Mytilus edulis: one gene and its partner. The main gene of each other region encodes a partner of the protein of the gene in region 2 in a complex. Links are inferred from orthologs where the notes say so. Each region holds a gene or a part of one and is shown on either strand. Other genes may lie near its edges.

Evidence for each region.
Region 1: the proteins of N-alpha-acetyltransferase 25, NatB auxiliary subunit-like (region 2) and N-alpha-acetyltransferase 20-like are in contact, whole or in part, in a cryo-EM structure (PDB 7STX), measured with the Homo sapiens proteins. The link is inferred for Mytilus edulis from reciprocal best matches to the Homo sapiens genes NAA25 and NAA20. Residues at the interface, in NP_079229.2 of Homo sapiens: Ser226, Glu227, Ile228, Asn259, Asp261, Asp262, Trp263, Gln264, Arg318, Arg321, Leu325, Lys362, Pro363, Cys364, Thr367, Asp368, Val371, Leu457, Thr459, Glu460, Leu461, Ser504, Ala506, Leu510, Leu532, Asp533, Lys535, His536, Ile537, Gln538; in NP_057184.1 of Homo sapiens: Thr2, Thr3, Leu4, Arg5, Thr8, Cys9, Asp10, Leu12, Phe13, Phe15, Asn16, Asn19, Leu20, Pro22, Leu23, Thr26, Tyr27, Gly28, Ile29, Pro30, Leu33, Gln34, Leu36, Ala37, His38, Pro40, Glu41, Pro49, Glu52, Met54.

What each region holds. Positions count from the first base shown.
Region 1 is NC_092346.1:35,473,060-35,482,654, reverse strand, and holds the start of N-alpha-acetyltransferase 20-like, read right to left. Parts: upstream 3,709-9,595; 5' UTR 3,623-3,708; coding exon 3,570-3,622; intron 1,806-3,569; coding exon 1,781-1,805; intron 839-1,780; coding exon 748-838; intron 1-747. Other genes in the region: centrosomal protein of 112 kDa-like, read left to right, coding at 7,996-8,098. UniProt on the Homo sapiens protein: Catalytic subunit of the NatB complex which catalyzes acetylation of the N-terminal methionine residues of peptides beginning with Met-Asp, Met-Glu, Met-Asn and Met-Gln. Proteins with cell cycle functions are overrepresented in the pool of NatB substrates.
Region 2 is NC_092349.1:22,081,156-22,090,613, reverse strand, and holds the start of N-alpha-acetyltransferase 25, NatB auxiliary subunit-like, read right to left. Parts: upstream 3,747-9,458; 5' UTR 3,720-3,746; coding exon 3,665-3,719; intron 1-3,664. Other genes in the region: uncharacterized protein, read left to right, coding at 4,080-4,342, 6,171-6,342, 7,924-8,046. UniProt on the Homo sapiens protein: Non-catalytic subunit of the NatB complex which catalyzes acetylation of the N-terminal methionine residues of peptides beginning with Met-Asp, Met-Glu, Met-Asn and Met-Gln. May play a role in normal cell-cycle progression.

The DNA of each region.
Region 1 (9,595 bases), on a different chromosome or scaffold from region 2:
ATCAAATTGTATGCGTTGTGAATCTGATAAAAACCAAACATCGGCCCAAACCGAAACAAAATCTTAAGTCACTTGAAAGTTCAGTTTAAACAGGTCAGGTTTCTTTGTACTATTAGTTACATAGTGTGCTAGTGACCTAATACGGTATATATGGGGTCAGTAAATTCCATATGGGGTGAGAGCGAAGCTCGAATCCCCATATGGAATTTACTGACCCCATATATACCGTATTACGTCACTAGCACACTATGTAACGAATTTATCTTACCGACTATCTTCACGTGTGAAATTAAGAGTGATTCTCAAAACGAGCAAGTCTTCAATACTGTTAGCGCTAGGAAAATACTTCCATTAATCCTACAAAAACAGATGCCAACAATAACGACTTGTAAGGTTTAAATGTGTTTTATGAATTTGTTTCAATCTGAATCATCAATTTCTTCGTCTGTTGGAACTTTTAAGATTTTTTCTCAGAACCGTTTTGTTTTTTACAAAGGGACATAACACCATTACTAACCGTGTATTAAATAAGGCCCGCCCCCTTCTTACCAAATAAGGAATATAAAGGGACGTAACTCCACTACTAACCGTGTATGAGATAAACCCCGCCTCCCTACTAACCTAATATCAAATATACACGGTTTGCACACGGACGCTTTTAACCAATCATATTCCTGGAAATGTATAGGAGGTAAGATAATTAGAAATACTCTTACCAATGGGCAAATTATGAGAAAATGTACTTACTATATCCCATAATTTGTCCAGCCGGCGATTCAGCAACTTGGAAGTACTCTGGCCAGTGAGCAAGGTACTGCATGTAAAATGGTAAGCCATACTGAGAGTGTCAAGGAATAAAAACAAATCTAGATAAATAGTAACAACTCAGTGACAACATAAACTTCAGTTCCCATATCTGGACTTTACTTAATAACCTTACCATTCAATCATTCTGGTCAGTGATCAAAGAAGTATTTTTTTTACTGTTGCGTTGATTACAATTACAGGAAAAAGCTTTTGTTTTACAGTCATGACAGTAATGACCATTATTACATTAACTTGAAATATATGTGTATGTCTTGAATAAAAGAAAGGTAAAATTTTACTTATACGTACATTTGTGCCAATTACATGTAAGGACTATGATGGTTATATTCAACTAAATGCCTTTTCGAATAAAGATCTGGATACAATTAATTAGTTATATAAAAATATAAAGTTTTGTAGATGTGTTATTTTAGATTCTTTGTACAATTTTGAAGTGTACAAAATGTATATAAACTACAAAATCATCATAGTCACATGTAGGTCAGAACAATTTATTACATGTACCAAATAAGAACCTTTCTAAACCTCTATTGTATGTCTAGGCATTGAGTATTTAATACAGGTCCTTGGTGTACAAATATACTGTGAGTTAAGCATATAGACAATACTATACTGTTTCAAATTTGAAAAGAAAGTTATATTGCAATTGCAGTAAATGTCCCAGTTTATTTTGGTCTGAATGGTTCTCCTCAAGGTCTGTGTCCAAGGCAAGGCAATGTTCATGTCCATCAATAATTGTATTTTAATACAACATAATTGAATCATATGTAACTTCAATCTCTTCAAATTAGGAGAAAAGCTCCTATTTTCTCTTTATTTCTGAAGCTACATGCATACATAGATACATTGTATAGGAAGATGTGGTGTGAGAATGTTTAGTACAACATTTTTGGGGGTTTAAAAACACAGAAGAGGCATATCAATTTCATTCTGTTCTTGGTATGAAGGATACAGTTTCTGTCAGTGGATCTAAATTCCTGCAAAATAATATCAAAATTTAATCCTTTCAATCTAATTTGTAGCATCCATTATCGATTTTATTAGAACTGTTTGTTGAACATGTTGAATATCGAATGGAACAAAACATTTCAAGCATTTAGCAGGTGTAGTATCATTTAAAAATACTACCTACTTAATCAATCTGAACAAACAAAAAACAAAATATATTTATTATTCCTTAGAAATATAAACAGAGGAAACTTTACAAAATATCCCTCATTTTGGGGGTCTCTAAAAAATCCCTAAAAATCAGAACAGGTCAATATTTCTGGGCAAACCCTTCTATTTTTTAATTGTTTGCTGTAGAAATACTGAAAAAAGATATAATCAACATACTATTATAAAATAAGGATGCTGAAATTACTACATCACTACACCAAGTACACTGAATGAGGGTACATTTGTAGTAGTTCCCTTTACCGTCAGATGCAAACAGTCATTTTCACCTATCGTTAGCGTCAAATTGGTTAAAATTTTACTGTGATTTGTCAAAACATCCTATTAAATTGTGATTCATCTCAAATAATTATCTCTACCGTTATTTTTGGAATTTTTTTTACAAGATTTATCAAAATTAAGCGATTTCTTATCATCTAAAAGAAAGTGCACATTTAATTATCACCAAAACATACTGTTTACATCATTTGGCAATAAATTTATTATTTGTTTTCATGAGAAAGTATTCCAATTACCACACTCCTAAAATTAGAGGTGGAAACGTGAATGCATGGAATGGGCAAACATGTCTGCCAGGGTATCAGGTCCGTTCGCGCCCAATACACTTTCGCATCTCGCACGTTGCACCCAAGGTCCGTTCGCACTCTACACATTCGCGCCCAATTTTAATTCAAATTCCAGTTGAATAATTGGAAAATCATGATATTTGTTTTAAATTGCTTTGGTGTAAATACTGAATGTATTTATAGCTTGGTATGAGTAAAACATTGAAGATTTTAAATGAATAACACAAAAGATAATTGTTTTTAACTGCTTGGTCCCTTTGATCTGAAACAATGAAACAACAAAATATAGAAATATTATAACCAAAACATGATAAAAATTTTTCAACACACAGACAGAATCTCACTTTATTTTGAAACAAGTCAATGCAACAAAGTTATAGAAATACACTGACCAAAACATGATTAACTAACAGTTATTCAACACAAAATAAAGCGTTGACAGAATCCCACTTTATTTAGAAAGGATTATTATTTTTTTTTAACAATACATATCCAAAACATGATGAAGATTCATTCAACACCAAAAAAAATGCTGTTTCACTTTATCAGTTTGAGACTATGACAACAATTATACTTACAAGAATACACTTGCCAAAACTTGATCATGTTGATTACAAAGTTATTAAACACAAAACAAATTAAAATTGGGCGCGAACGGACTTTGGGTGCTGTAGGGTGCGAAAGTGAAAGGGGGCGAATATGAGTGGGTGCGAACGTGAATGGGCACGAACGGACCCAGATTTGTCTGCCAGGGCGAACAGACCAAGATTCCATTAGCTGTAACTTTTTTGTCATATATATAGGATAGAGAACGCCATTGACAGTTAAATGTCGTATGATCCTCTAAACAATCCCTTGAGATTTATATCATATATTTTATTTCACATTTAGATAAATTATCATATTTACATGATAAATAATAAAAAAAAAAGTCAAACACATTAAAAAGGATAAAGTGACACTGACAGAACTGGTTACCATTGTAAAGCCTATACTTACACATTATTAAATCTAAATAAGTCGTCACAAGTAAACGGACGAATAGTCGTCATCCCTAAGAAGGACAGGGAGCTCGGACAGGTGCCCGACCGGCCTAAAAATAAAACCGGAAGTTAATTCATGCAAGTTTTGATAAAAAGATAGATTTATTATTTCCATTGTGATTACCTGTATCTAGATTAAAGCTTATGTAATATAATCTATCATGCTGTAATTTAATTATTCATATTTTAATATTTTGTTTGTGAAAAGGAATTAGTATTTATTACATTTCAAAGGTAACTTTTGTTGTGTTTAGAATTCTTATTTCTTTATTCATAGCCTAAAATTGAAAATTCAAACATCCGGTCGTGTTACTGACCAAGCTCCTTTTTAAAAAATCGTTGCTATGATTTCGAAATAAGTAACTAGTCCTGCATTGAACACCAGGTTTGATAATTAACATACACTAGGTAAACCTTATGCATATTCATAAATCTTACTTCACATTGCACTAATAAGCTGATTAAAAAATCACAACAAAGTCAACATGCCTGATCACGTTTATCGAGTTTGATTTGATTAGTATTTGTGTTTATATTATTTACAGTTGTGCATATCTCACACTTAAACCATTTATTGTTGCATATATAGGTAAGATTACCATTGCTTGCATTCATCATTCATGTCATTTCAAACATAAAACATTTATCATGATCTTTTAAATGAAATGAACAGGAATTTGAAAGGTGTCAATTGAAGAAAAATATGATAGTAAAATGCATTTTTTTCAATTTCTATTTTTCTAAACATGCTAAATATTTTAGCATCTTTTGTCTAAACAAATGTAGATTTTTGTGTATAATCTTCTTCTTCAAGGTAAGGAACCGAATTCAAATCTTGAATGTATGAGGTCCCGCGAAAACTAACGCAATGTCGGACAACACAGAAAGTTTTCTCTTGGCTATTTACAGGATAAAACGTTCTCTATATATATACAATTAAAACTATGTACAGGATGTTACTGTCTAAATTTTAGCAGAGCATGCCTTCAGGGCAGCTCTGAATCCATCAACTGTGTCAGCTGATGTTGCGGATGTTGGCAGTTGGTTCCAGTCTCTAATGGTCCTTGGAAAAAATGATTGTCCGAAGGCGTCTGTTGTGGCCCTTTCTTGGAAGAAGCGGGTTTTACCTCTGGTCCGGCTATCGTTTGGCGTTAGATATTGGTGCCTATCTATGTCTATCAGATCATGTTGGATTTTGAATAGCATGCATAGCCTATTTTGTTTCCTGCGGTCTTCAAGGCTTTCCCATTTTAAAGATGTTACTATTTTTGTTACACAGCCAGGTGTGCGGTCTGTGTAGTTGTTGTTGACAAATCTAGCTGCTCTTTTCTGTACCTGCTCTATTGCTTTTATTTTAGCCTGTTTCGTAGGGTCCCATTACTGTGCTAGCATACTCAATTGAAGGTCTTACTATTGTTGAATATGCTGCTGCTTTGACCGGTTTAGTGCAATCTTTAAGGTTACGTCGTATGAAACCTAATGTTTTGTTTCCTTTTCCTTCTATGTTGTCGATGTGTCTGTCCCAGGTTAGATTATTGCTGATAGTAACTCCCAGGTATTTACTAGCTTCAACGGTGTCCAGTGTGTGTCCGTGTAATTTGTAATTAGTTGGTATTACAGGACGGTTCTTGGGTTGTATTCTAATTACAATGCAGTTTTTTGGGCCACAATTAAAAATATTTCAGTTTGCCCAAACCCGACCCAAGATGACTGGGTGTGGGTAGGTAGGTAGGCAAATTCTTTTTTTTTTCAGAATTTGCATGAAAATATTAAAAGATCTTAAAACAGTACATCTTTTTTTCCCGTTAAACCTTTGTAGAGTCAACCAAAAGCCATGAATTTAAAACCTCTATAAATAAATTAGTCTACTATATGATTTGTATCCTGAGATGTTTATAACCCTGACAATTGCTAAATGTGTGAAAGGGCTGGTGGATTTATGAAGTGATTTTCAACAGTTACATCAACAAGATGTTTGTGTAAAAAAAAATATCAGCTGACTATGTAATGATTTAATTTGTTTGCAGTTTTTAAATCCTATATCTTTTAAAATAGATTAAATGTCCTAAAATATTTTATATGAACTATTATCTACCATCCATAGTTTCTGTCTTTTTATGTTTTGACAACAAATTTATATTTTTACATTATCACACAGGTAAACTAATTTGGCCATAAATAGATCAAAACATGTTCTGTAGAATCTCCAAACCAAAAACGTATTTGTTATAATTTTATTTCTTTAAATAATCAAGTTTTTTTTTTTTTAAATAATCATTATTGATAAAATATAATTGCATAAAGTTAACGTTTTCTGGAGACTATTTATTTTTAGGTCATGGTTCTAGAGGCTTCCTCACAAATTTGTATAAAAATCCAACCATAACATGTGTTTGTAACTTTTGCACATGTGAAAAAAATATTTCTGACAAAAGCCAGATTTTTCTTGTCAAAGGGGATTTACATTGCACTAAATTATTCAGAAAGAGTTACATTCAGTTAAGATTATATTTCTGATTCTGTGAGCAATTATAGTTTAATCAAATTCTCCCAAACAGCAACGTATCTTGTCAAAAAAAGAGGGACGACAGATACCAAAGGGGCAGTCAAACTCATAAATCTAAAACAAACTGACAACGCCATGGCTAAAAATGAAAAAGACAAACAGAAAAACAATAGTACACATGACACAACATAGAAAACTAAAGAATAAACAACACGAACCCCACCAAAAACCAACTGTCAACTGAGACTTGTAAATTTGAACTATTTGAATAAAAGGGCATCTAATTCACATGATAACGGAAGATTATAATTTAAGACAACAATTTTTCAAGAAGTAATTCCTTTTTATTCAGTAAAAACAAAATCTTTTTGCAAGATTGTAAATTCGCAACTTCCGGATCCATTTCCTGTCAGAGTAACATTGAAAATATTCGATTGCACATGGTTTTGAACAAATCTACCTGAATATTCTTATCAGATATTCGATTACACGATGAAATTAACATTGAGCATATAGGTAAGGGTTTGTTAGTACATGTACAGACAACAACAGCGTAAAAAAACTGTGCCACTTCACATGTTTCACTTCTTTACGTTCGTTAAATCAGAAGATAAAAACAGAGAACATCGAAGATCGATTAACTGCGTCTCTTATGCGCTTTCTTTTAATCATATTCACAGTTACTTTCAAACGCAAAGACGACCAACATTAAGTTTTATACAATGACGGAGCGGACATGAAAAGAATCCGCAAAAAAAAAAAATTCTTCTAAAAAACGTCAAAAAAAGAATTTGAGTCGGCGGGTTTATTTTGGGTCGGTCGCGTTTGGGCAAACATACAATCTTTTTATTTTGGCCTTGCATTGAAGCTCATTTGCCACTTATCTTCCCAATCCTCTAATGATGTGAGATCTTTCTGTAGTAGGTCACTTTCTGCTTGGTTACTGATAGTTCGATAGATAATGATATACATAAATATAAGAAGATGTGGAATGAGGACCAATGAGTCAACATTCCATATAACTCCAAGTCACAATTTGTAAAAGTTATCCATAATGCATTATAGGTCAAAGTACGGTCTTCAACACAGAGCCTTTGCTCACACCAAATATACATCTTTACTCATATAATAGTTGATATGAGGCAGGCATGACCTGTGAACATGGTGAATGGGGATGAAGTCTGTACTTTTAAAAAAAAAATCGAGCATGTTGATAAAAGAAACTGAAATACCGTAACATTTCCGATACTGGTTCTGTTGTCAGGGGTTTAAGTTATGACGTCATATTCAATGTAAACAAAGAATGTTGTTATCAGGTAACATTTTTTTCATATCAAACAATTATTTAAAATTATTGGGTGTTGAATTCCTTCCTTTAGGCTATACAGTGCTCTCCCCAGATATTTCATTTAGCATCCTGGGTTACAGGGGAAATTGAACATGTTGAAATACAATTATGTATCTGAAAATTATAGCATCACATCCATAACACTACCTATAAGAGAACCATTTCAGATAGCATCACATTTAAGATTATAGCATCACATACCCATGATGCTAAAAGGCCCTGGGCAGAACACTGCTCTATTTGTTGATATGTTGATAAATATACATTTTATTCAAAGTCTCATGCAAACAAGACCGGAACAGGAAGTAGAACTGAAAAAAAAAGTTAACGATTTTGACTTCATTAGTAGAAATTTTTTATTTTTTTTTATTGATTTTTCTACCGTAATTCGGGACTTCGTCCCCATATTATTATATTACTATCTTAAGATACCATAATCAGGTGTATTTTAAACTATGCATGATTTCAAAATAATCCATGTGGGATTTAAAACATTATTTTCTTTTTAATAGGTTAGCTTGGTTAAAAATGGCATTTTCTGAAGATCCTGTGTATGTGTCTTTGGACCAGAAGTTTGACAAAGTTTTGGCAGATATGAAGCCATATGTATTGAAGCTACCACACAAAACAGGTAATATTAATGTAGATTTTAAAACGTTATTAAACAATGTTTTGGCAAAAATTTATTTCTTATTTGCATTGCTTTTATAATTATCATGATTATAAACTGTTTAAAGTATTTTTCTTTTGCTATGACTTGTTAGATAGACATGATTTGTAGAACTAATGTATTTACTGCATTTGCGTATGTAATATTTGTTTTAATGATTATGTGCAATAAGGGCATATACATGTACACTACATTTTGTTTGGATCTCATTATTTTTACGATGAAGATAATGGAGCCCAACTCCTGTGACGTTCAATCAAGTTTATCCTCTGGCTGTTAGTGTTAATGTATATGCCTTCAACATTACAAACTGTTGGAAAATAAAAAGTTTGTCTGTTCATATCTCAGGTCACAAATATTAAAAGCTAATTTTCACAGTCTTAAAAGTCATATGATATGTCAATTTACCTAGATTGTCATGATTATGTCCAATTCACTATCCCTTTTAGCTGGGTGATTCATTCAATTGAGAGTGGTGCACACATGTTTGTATATTCAAAATATGTTTACGAGTTTTGAACATCTGTCAACCTCTGTTGTCTCTTATTATTCACTTTAGATTTCTTAGGTTTAAATTCTATTATGTATACAATCACTGCAGTGTCCATGTATATATATGTACATGTCACATGGTGTGTAATTTCCACTTTTATATTGAGCAGACCAGTCAACTAGAGATGGTAAATCAATCCATATGTTTCAAAAATAAATGTCTTCCTCATAGTCCTTTTTAGCTGGTCTGGAAAAGATTGTGTACAAATAAAATCAAACTAGTATTATGGTATTATGTACTTAAATAAAATTATATTAGATCTATCTTATTGTAAAAAGTTTTGAAATTTGAAATATTTTTGGTATTACATTCCTGTTAATTTCAGTAATTTTTACTTGAAAGGAGTAGGTCCAGTAAGACCCCTTTTTGGCCCCAAAATATGGCGGTTTTACAAAATTGTTAAAATGTAAACTTTTAGTCATTTATTGGACAGTAGAATGGTTCTGCTACATAAATATGGGCTGTTTTTGACAATACAACAGGGCTCACACTACTTCAGAATTATAGGGAGAAGTGACTTCTCTTTTTGAAAATGATAGGGAGAAGTGGTGAGATTTGAAAGAGAAGTGCTCATTCGTGCGGTGCGCTACAATGTTTGGATTTTACTATAGTATAAACGGTCATATGTAAATAATGTTCTTTTTATATTATTCAATTCATATCTGAGTATACAATTAAAGTAACATTTCAAATTAAAAGTTATTTAAGTTTAACTAAGGTTTTGAGAAACTACAATCTAAATATTTATATATCATGTATATCAGTTACAATTTAATTCAAATCTATCTTGTGTATGAAATTCAGTGTTTTTCATAAAAAAAATATAAAAGTTATTAAGCTGGGCCATAATATAGTTAATAGTCTCAGAGTTAAGCAACTTTGAAACAATCCATAAAAAATATAGG
Region 2 (9,458 bases):
TAAAAGTTTTAGAGTGCCTTTTGATCAATTTTTAAAGTATTTTTCAACACAGGGCATTGAAAATGTACTTTTTCAACGTAACCAATTAAAAAACTTATCTTATTAAATGTGGATTCTTTCTTGATTGCAAACATATGTATTCACTTCTAATAAAAATTCAAATGACTAAAATAGACATAAGGCAGCAACCATTTGATTTTCTGGGGGGGGCTATGGTTTTTTTTTTCTGGACAATTTTTTTTTTTCGCCTGTGGCGATAAACAATCTATTTTTTTCACGACAAATCGAAAACAATTTTTTTCTTTCAATTTTAGCATTTTAGCATTACATATAGTGGCAGCTGAGGGTGAAACAAACAATTTTTTTTTCTCAGAATCAAAAACAAATTATTTTTTTCTCCAAAAACTGGAAACAAACTTTTTTTTCCAAAAAAAACCATAGCCCCCCCCCCCCACTCCCCGAAAATCAAATGGTTGCTGCCTAATGATTGATGGGAAATAAACTTATAAACAATGGTTTGTTATAATTAAAAGTTTTAAAATTTTTAAGCTGTTTCAAGCCAATTCCTGATAAAAAAAAGTGTACTAATTTAATTGTTGATTAATTACAGATGATTATTGGAAATTTATCAAGTAAATTATAGGCCTTACTTGAATACCTTTTATTTATTCATATTTATATTCATATTTCATTTTTTTAAGATCTTGTTAATCCATTAATCATTTATCTTTCAGATATAATTTACAGAATCACTTTATGTAATGTAGATCAAAAGTAATTGGCAATAAATAAATCTATCATCCTTAATGCTTATAAATATCAAACATCTAATATACACATTTGTGTATTCAATTATGAGGTCAAATACTTGTGTATTAAGAATTATATTGAGTGGTCTGTATAATTATGTAAGACTGAGGTTGATAGGTAATGTGGTCAATTTGATTGGCAGTTTAGGAGGTGGGGCATTGTAATTAAAGGTTCACCTTGTCTCTGATTGTTTAGTGATAATGACAGTTGTCAATCATACTAGTTGAATCAATACCCAGTTACCTAATCAAAATGTTTTTTAAAAGCCTGCACATCAACACACCTTAATGACATACATTCTTGAATGAACTGCTCCAATAATATACCCAGTTTTTTTTCAGTTTATATGTGTATTATGTGCACATATATCAGAACCATAGGGAACTATATTTCAGTGTGAATACATTTAGTAACAGTAGCTAACCTGTCCTGTTGTTAGGGAGGCTGGTGCCTTAGTAAAGATTTAGAACAAGTTCTAATCTTTCCAAAAAAGTCAACCACGGAAATAAAAGTACTTTCACAGTATATGGATAACAATACTCAATAGTAGAATGGATTGGAAAATCAATGCACATCAGATTCCAAGAAAGTGTTTAATTTTCTAAAACCATGAAAACATAAATTGTATTTAACGTTTGTATGTTATGTATATACCTATATCTAAATTTTGTTGTTTAAACATGCTCATTTTTGTCAATACAAACAGGGATCTCCATGGATGAAAATTGAACGATGGAGGAACTTTCATCATTACAAACCGTGTCTACGCTGTACAGTGTAGCGCGATCGGAAGTATTTTATCCCTCCATACAAGGAATGGTGAACATGCTAATTCATTGCTTATTTAAATTATATTTATTTGAATTTCCATTATAGAATTAGAAGTATCAATATTTTCATTTATTTCCGTTTTTAACCATTTAAATGCCAAGTCTTCATGGTCCCCCCTTAGTCGAGAATGACCAAAAGCTGTCATGAAGGTCCCCATGTAGATTTCTTGTATTTTTGGTAATTGTTATGGGGGTTAAAAATCATATGATGTGGAGCTTATTTTTCATGGACACTGTCAAATTCAGAACCCATTACCGGTATGGCTGATTTGCAGCAACAAGAAAACGATTCGTACAAGTTATGTAAAAGGTTAAAGAGATTTGTAAAGCAAATGTTGACAAATGAAAAGGTTTTTAATGACTTTATCTGGCAAATTGATGCTTTGCAACATGCATCTTTCGAGTCTGAATAGAAACCAGAAACAGGTCATGGAGATCCCTGACAAATTTGAGTAAATAAAGATTTTTCTACTACTAAGCTTTCATAGGGTAAAATTAGGTCTTTTAATGAACCCATCAAAGCAGGGCAAAAAATCATATTAAGAAAACCATATTCTATTATCTAGAATTCTCATGAGCAAAATTTTTTTCTGCAATATTATTCTGTAATTAACACATCATGGATCATAAGTTGTTGTTTGGAGAAATCATTTATCAAATTGACTCAAAATTGGTGTCAGTTGTAGTAAAGCACAAAAATTTATAATTATTTTTTTTTGCAGTGCAGACCACAGCACATAGATGTGTTGTTTAAATCCAGATATATTCATATATATGCAACATTGTCTATTATAAAATTACTTAATTTCTGTGAATTTCTAATTTTTAGAATTGTAATGTTCAGTTTATAATTTGAATTAATTCAAGATTTCTAATGAAATTCAGCATACATTAAAAAGATTCCATTTTACATCATAAACTGATGAAGGATATGTTATCCTCACTATCAATCTTTTTTTGTATTTATTCAATGTTTCCTATTCTATCATTCTATAGCATGTATAGTTTTGGTGTTTTTGACAACTTTGTAGATGTATTACGGATTCATTATTATTGGTTGGATACCAATTTTCGTGGATTTCATGGGAACAGGTGAACCGTCACCTAATTAAATGTTCAACGAAAAACCTTATTTTCCATAGGCTTGTATGCAGCAGCATATTTTAGCAAAACCAGGAAATCAAGTATTCATGAACAAGTTTTCCTCGATCCACAAAAATAAATGAATCCAATGTCTAATTAATTTATTCATTGTGTACTGTACAGTATCAATCACTTTGACAAGTGATATGAAATATGTTCCTTATGTCGTAACTACAATCCCCTTCCCTTTTCACCAATGTGACCTACCCAATTAGACTATTTACCGGATTTGTAATAACATAAGCAACACGATGGGTGCAACATGTGGAGCAGGATTTGCTTACCCAACCGGAGCACCTGAGATCACCCCCAGTTTTTTGTGGGGTTTGTATTGATAGTCTTTATTATTTCTATGTTGTGTCTTGTGTACTATTGATTATCTTTTTTGACCATGGCTCTGTGAGTTTATTTTCAGTTGATGAGTATATTAACATGTACACTGTGATGAATATTGTTGTAATAACCAATTATATAAATCAATTGTATATGATTGTAAGCCTTTAATTTAGATATGAGCTCTGGTCTGTAATTTTATAGTGAAATTTGGGAAATACAAAATTATTTTCTAGTCTATGATTATCATGATTACCTACAATCATTGAAGGAATGTGATTCAAATCCTAAAAAATATGTTTGAAGATTAAAGAGGTCAAGATGTCTGTCATGTCAAGTCTAAACCACATAAGATTATAAATACTTTCATTGGCGGCATCTCATTTTCTATGATTTTTACAAAAATTATCAACCAGAAATGTGTTCTGAAAACGGTTATTACTGCACAGAAATGTTAAAAATCGGTTGGATTTGTTATATTCATATTGTTCTCTATGTCTGTATATTCATAAGAGTACGATTTATGCATATAAAATATATAAACGGACCATAAATAGGTCTGAGTCGCCTTTCGTTCACATCCACATGGCTACGAGAAGCCATTTTCAGGCAAATCTCGTTCTAACAAGTAGATCTCGTGAGTTTCTGTTTGCGGATTATTCTAAATGGTAAATGTTGTGAATTGTATTCTTTTACTTTATCTGTAAAAACATGTGCAATTAATTTTGTTTTTACTATAAGAAGTTAGAAATAACGACCTAAAAAGAGTGTTTATGATTATATTTTGACGACTACTTTAGATCTATTTTTTTAGTGGATTGCTCTATTCTAGTTGTTGATCGGCGCTTCCGGTTTCACTTTCACTTTGAAATTGATGTTGAGCAAAAATGTTGTGCAATGACATTAGTCATTTCAACAACATATATTCTGGAAAAACAACTAACTCAACAGATTTAATTCACAATGGATAGTTCACAGGGAGTCGGTGACATGACACTTGAAAAGCAGACGGAGGACACAGAAATTGAAAAATCTGATATGGCCTGCAGCATAAACTATTCTCAGTGTTTAGTACCAAAAGGTATAGACATTGCAAAATATATCCTTCAGAGGGATTCATGGCCTAGAGAAGGAAAGCATATCCTAGCACAGTATGATGATCGCAGTGTTATTGTGTATCAAGCATTTAATACAGCTATTGCTAAATATGCAGTACAAAATCAAAGGTAAACAAATTTCAAGATCAGTAAATTTTATGTAAAATGAGAAAAAGAAGCCTTAAGTGGTAATGAATGATTGTAAATTCTTGTGAAATATCCTTGCCTGTAGCAGTAACACTTTCACAAATTAAGTGAAGGATTGTTGAAGGCCATAAAGTGACCTTATTCATCATGTACATGTAGTTGTTAATTTCTCCATGTGGAGACTTGTCTCATTGGCAATCATACCACATCTTCTTTTTTATATTCAAGATTACATTTTTAAGCTGAATTTTTACAAACATTTTAGATTGATTCTAACAGGCCCAAAACATTTTTCAAGCCATGTTGGTCTGTTGGGCCTGTGGTGTTGATAGTAAATAGGATTTCATAGTCCACCTAGAAGCTGAACTTTTTAATACAACCCAAATTTTTTTCGTTCGAAACATATAACATGCATAATGGTTTCAGGACAATAACTTTAGTTTTTAAAGTGAATGGATCTCTATGAAGTTTTACCAGAAGGTTCAATACCACATAAAAAAGGTTGGGATATACATGTATTTATACAGTGTTATAGTAATAACCGTTGGGGAATTAGGGACCAAAAATTGGACCAAAACAAGCATGTTTGTAGTTTCTGGACAATCACTTTTGTGTGAGTGTATGTAGATCTCTCTGAAATTGAACCACAAGGTTCCATATCAATAGCACAGTGTTAGGCAATAGCAAGAAATCTTCAATTGCTCAGTATCATGAGCATTGCTCAATAGTAAGAAATCATCAATTCTGAAACAGCACAGTTTTGCACAACTGCACAGTATTGAGCAATAGCAAGAAATATTCAATTGCACAGTATTGCCTTATACACATGTACACTTTAGCAAGAAATCTTCAATTGAAAATAAATACAAATCTTTTAACCAATTCAAGGGATTAATTTAAGATATTTAATTGTTTGTTTTTTTTACCTTGTACATGTATTACTATTTTGGATATTGGGCCCCATTTTTAAATTAGTCTACATTGAGGTGAAAAAAGTTTGACATGTCTGAGTTTGACATTACTATAGAATTTTTTCTCAGAATTTTTCTGTGGATATTATTATTTTACATTGTTTTACAAATGTTTTAAGTGATCAACATTTGTTCTATTTTACTAATTTTACCATTTCTACATAAACATACACAGATACATGTATTCTTATTAATCCCAACAATTTATGAATTTTAAGGAACATTACATTTATTGGTGTTCTTCATCTTCAAACCAGATCAAGTTTTTCTGGCAGTGAAGGCTGAGCTACAATATCAACTGAAAATGGTTACATGGAGATACACTGATTGATATTTTCACAAGCAAGAACAATGACTTAGGCTTACATGAATGACGTCATACAATCTAGTTTACTTAATTGAGGAAATCAGATACCACTCTAGAGTTTGTGAAAAGTGATGGTCCTAAGGATTTGACCACCAAAATTTTACAAAGGACGGACACAATTTTAGTATTTTGCATTAGAAATAATAGTGAGGACCAGCATATTTTCTTCAAGGACCACCAGGGAGGGGAAAAAAGTTTTTGCAAACCCTGCCACTCAATTATTAGCTTAAGATTGAAAATTATCTTCTAGAAATATCATTTAGAGGTATAATCATTGAAAGAATGGTTGTACATTATTGTGAATCATGTATATCCCTGTGTTCGTTACTGTGCCAATAGAGTTACAATAACATCTGACATCTGGTCCTTCCAATAGACAAATGATTGCCTTCTAAGAAACTGTTTAAATACACAGCCATACAATTAAATAATAATCACGATCATGTCATGCATGTCATTTAATTGTTTGTAGATTTGGTGGGGAACAATTCAGTTATGAAAGAATGTCATGGATAAAAACTAATTTTCTGTGGATGATGTATCGTTGTGGATGGGCAAGCAAGAACAACCAACAAAGAGTTTTAGCAGTTAGAATTAGTCGTCATGGATTTGAGAAAATATTGGCCAATGCCTTTACAGTAAAAGTATGCTAAAATAAGTCAATAGATATTAAAAGATGTGGTATGAATGCCAATGCGACAACTCTCCATCCAAGTCACAATTTATGAAAGTAAATCATTATAGGTCAATGTAATGTTGTATATACATGTATATATTTCAGTGAGACAGCAACCCAAAATTTAACAAAAGATCCAATAGACATCTACAACAGATCAGGTCAACCTTCAAATGGATGTAGGAAAGCAATAATTAAGCAACTGTCATTCATACAGGCCATTCATTAGGAGGCAGTACCCGGTACTTTTACCCTCCTATGCTATTGACAAGTACCGCCTAAATGTAGGAATTTTTATATAAGATACTCATGGAATAAATTGAAAAATACCACCTAGAAACGTGGAAAGTACCAGTCAACATGAAAGATAATGAAGCCTCTGGAATCATATACTGTAGATTCATTGATTATATATATTATATTGAGGTGTTGATTACGGAAAATTGTATTTCTGGGATACTAAATTTTGTGGTCTTACACAAGTCTGCATGTTTAACCTTTAGAAAAATTTATACTTCATTGAATTTAGGGTTCAGATGTAGGCATTTAGTTATTGCATGTCCTATGAAATCCACAAAGATTGGTTACTATCCACTGAATATTGATGAATCCACAGTATACTATTTTATCGCTATTTTGTTCATTTTTCTTTTGATCTTTTTTTTGTGATAATTTTCATATCATGCTTCTCGCTTGAGATGGAAACTTAGGTGGCCATGTGGCGTTGCTAACAAAATTGACATGAAATTGATGCGTCATAGGTAAAATAGCGATAAACAGATTATCATTGGTCATCTCAACTGGATTGCTTTTCTCACTTTCGCTGTACCAGCTCAAGGGAGAAAATCAGTCTCGTTGAGATGATCAACGATAATCTATAAATATCAGAGATATTGAACTATTTCAGATGATCATAATGATGATATGTTCAAACCTACAAAGTCAGATTGGAGAAGCATGGACTATTCAAAATGCAATGTATTGCTACATAAAAACTGAAAATTTTGAGAGATCACTCAAAAATAAGGAAGAATCCACAGTGTACTTCACTATAACAATTCAACATATTGCTACTGCATGTATATGATGTATACACATTTTGTTGCTTTGAAGGTCATGATGTATACACATATTGTTGCTTTGAAGGTCATGATGTATACACATATTGTTGCTTTGAAGGTTATGATGTATACACATATTGTTGCTTTGAAGGTCATGATGTATACACATTTTGTTGCTTTGAAGGTCATGATGTATACACATATTGTTGCTTTGAAGGTTATGATGTATACACATATTGTTGCTTTGAAGGTCATGATGTATACATATTTTGTTGCTTTGAAGGTCATGATGTATACACATATTGTTGCTTTGAAGGTAATGATGTATACATAAATTGTTGCTTTGAAGGTCATGATGGTAGAAAATTAAGTATGTTCAGGAAAAAAAATCTTCAATTATACCAACATCCCAAATTAATCAATTCTAGGCATTGAAGAAAATTTGCAGTACCGGTATCGGTATATATATTTTATTTTTGTCTTTATAGTTTCAAAGAGAACAGAAATTACAAACCGACGAGATAAGTGTACGACTACAATGGGATCCTGATCATTCTCCTACATATGATAAACTTCCAAGAAAAGCCATACAACTTGGATTAAAAGGGGAGGTAAGCATGATCATGTCAAAGGTGTTATTGTGATGTATTTGGCCATGTTGACATTCCTTGTTTTAATCAGTCAGGGGTACTATTTGTATAAAATGTTTTTATACGACCGCAAAATTTGAAAATTTTTTCGTCGTATATTGCTATCACGTTGGCGTCGTCGTCTTCGTCGTCGTCGTTGTCGTCGTCGTCGTCCGAATACTTTTAGTTTTCGCACTCTAACTTTAGTAAAAGTGAATGGAAATCTATGAAATTTTAACACAAGGTTTATGACCACAAAAGGAAGGTTGGTATTGATTTTGGGAGTTTTGGTCCCAATATTTTAGGAATTAGGGGCCAAAAAGGGCCCAAATAAGCATTTTCTTGGTTTTCGCACTATAACTTTAGTTTAAGTTAATAGAAATCTATGAAATTTTGACACAAGCTTTATGACCACAAAAGAAAGGTTGGGATTGATTTTGGGAGTTTTGGTTTCAACAGTTTAGGAATTAGGGGCCAAAAAAGGGCCCAAATAAGCATTATTCTTGGTTTTCGCACAATAACTTTAGATTAAGTAAATAGAAATCAATGAAATTTAAACACAATGTTAATGACTACAAAAGGAAGGTTGGTATTGATTTTGGGAGTTTAGGTCCAAACAGTTTAGGAATTAAGGGCCAAAAAGGGACCCAAATAAGCATTTTTCTTGGTTTTCGCACCATAACGTTAGTATAAGTAAATAGAAATCTATGAAATTTAAACACAAGGTTTATGACCATAAAAGGAAGGTTGGTATTGATTTTGGGAGTTGTGGTCCCAACATAATAAGGGGCCCAAAGGGTCCAAAATTAAACTTTGTTTGATTTCATCAAAATTGAATAATTGGGGTTCTTTGATATGCCGAATCTAACTGTCATGACTGTGTATGTAGATTCTTAACTTTTGGTCCCGTTTTCAAATTGGTCTACATTAAGGTCCAAAGGGTCCAAAATTAAACTTAGTTTGATTTTGACAAAAAATGAATCAGTTAGGTTCTTTGATATGCTGAATCTAAAAATGTACTTAGATTCTTGATTATTGGCCCAGTTTTCAAGTTGGTCCAAATCGGGGTCCAAAATTAAACTTTGTTTGATTTCATCAAAAATTGAATAAATGGGGTTCTTTGATATACCAAATCTAACTGTGTATGTAGATTCTTCATTTTTGGTCCTGTTTTCAAATTGGTCTACACTAAAGTCCAAAGGGTCCAAAATTAAACTTAGTCTGATTTTAACAAAAATTGAAATCTTGGGGTTCTTTGATATGCTAAATCCAAAAATGTACTTAGATTTTTTTATTATGGGCCCAGTTTTCAAGTTGGTCCAAATCAGGATCTAAAATTATTATATTAAGTATTGTGCAATAGCAAGTCTTTTCAATTGCACAGTATTAAGCAA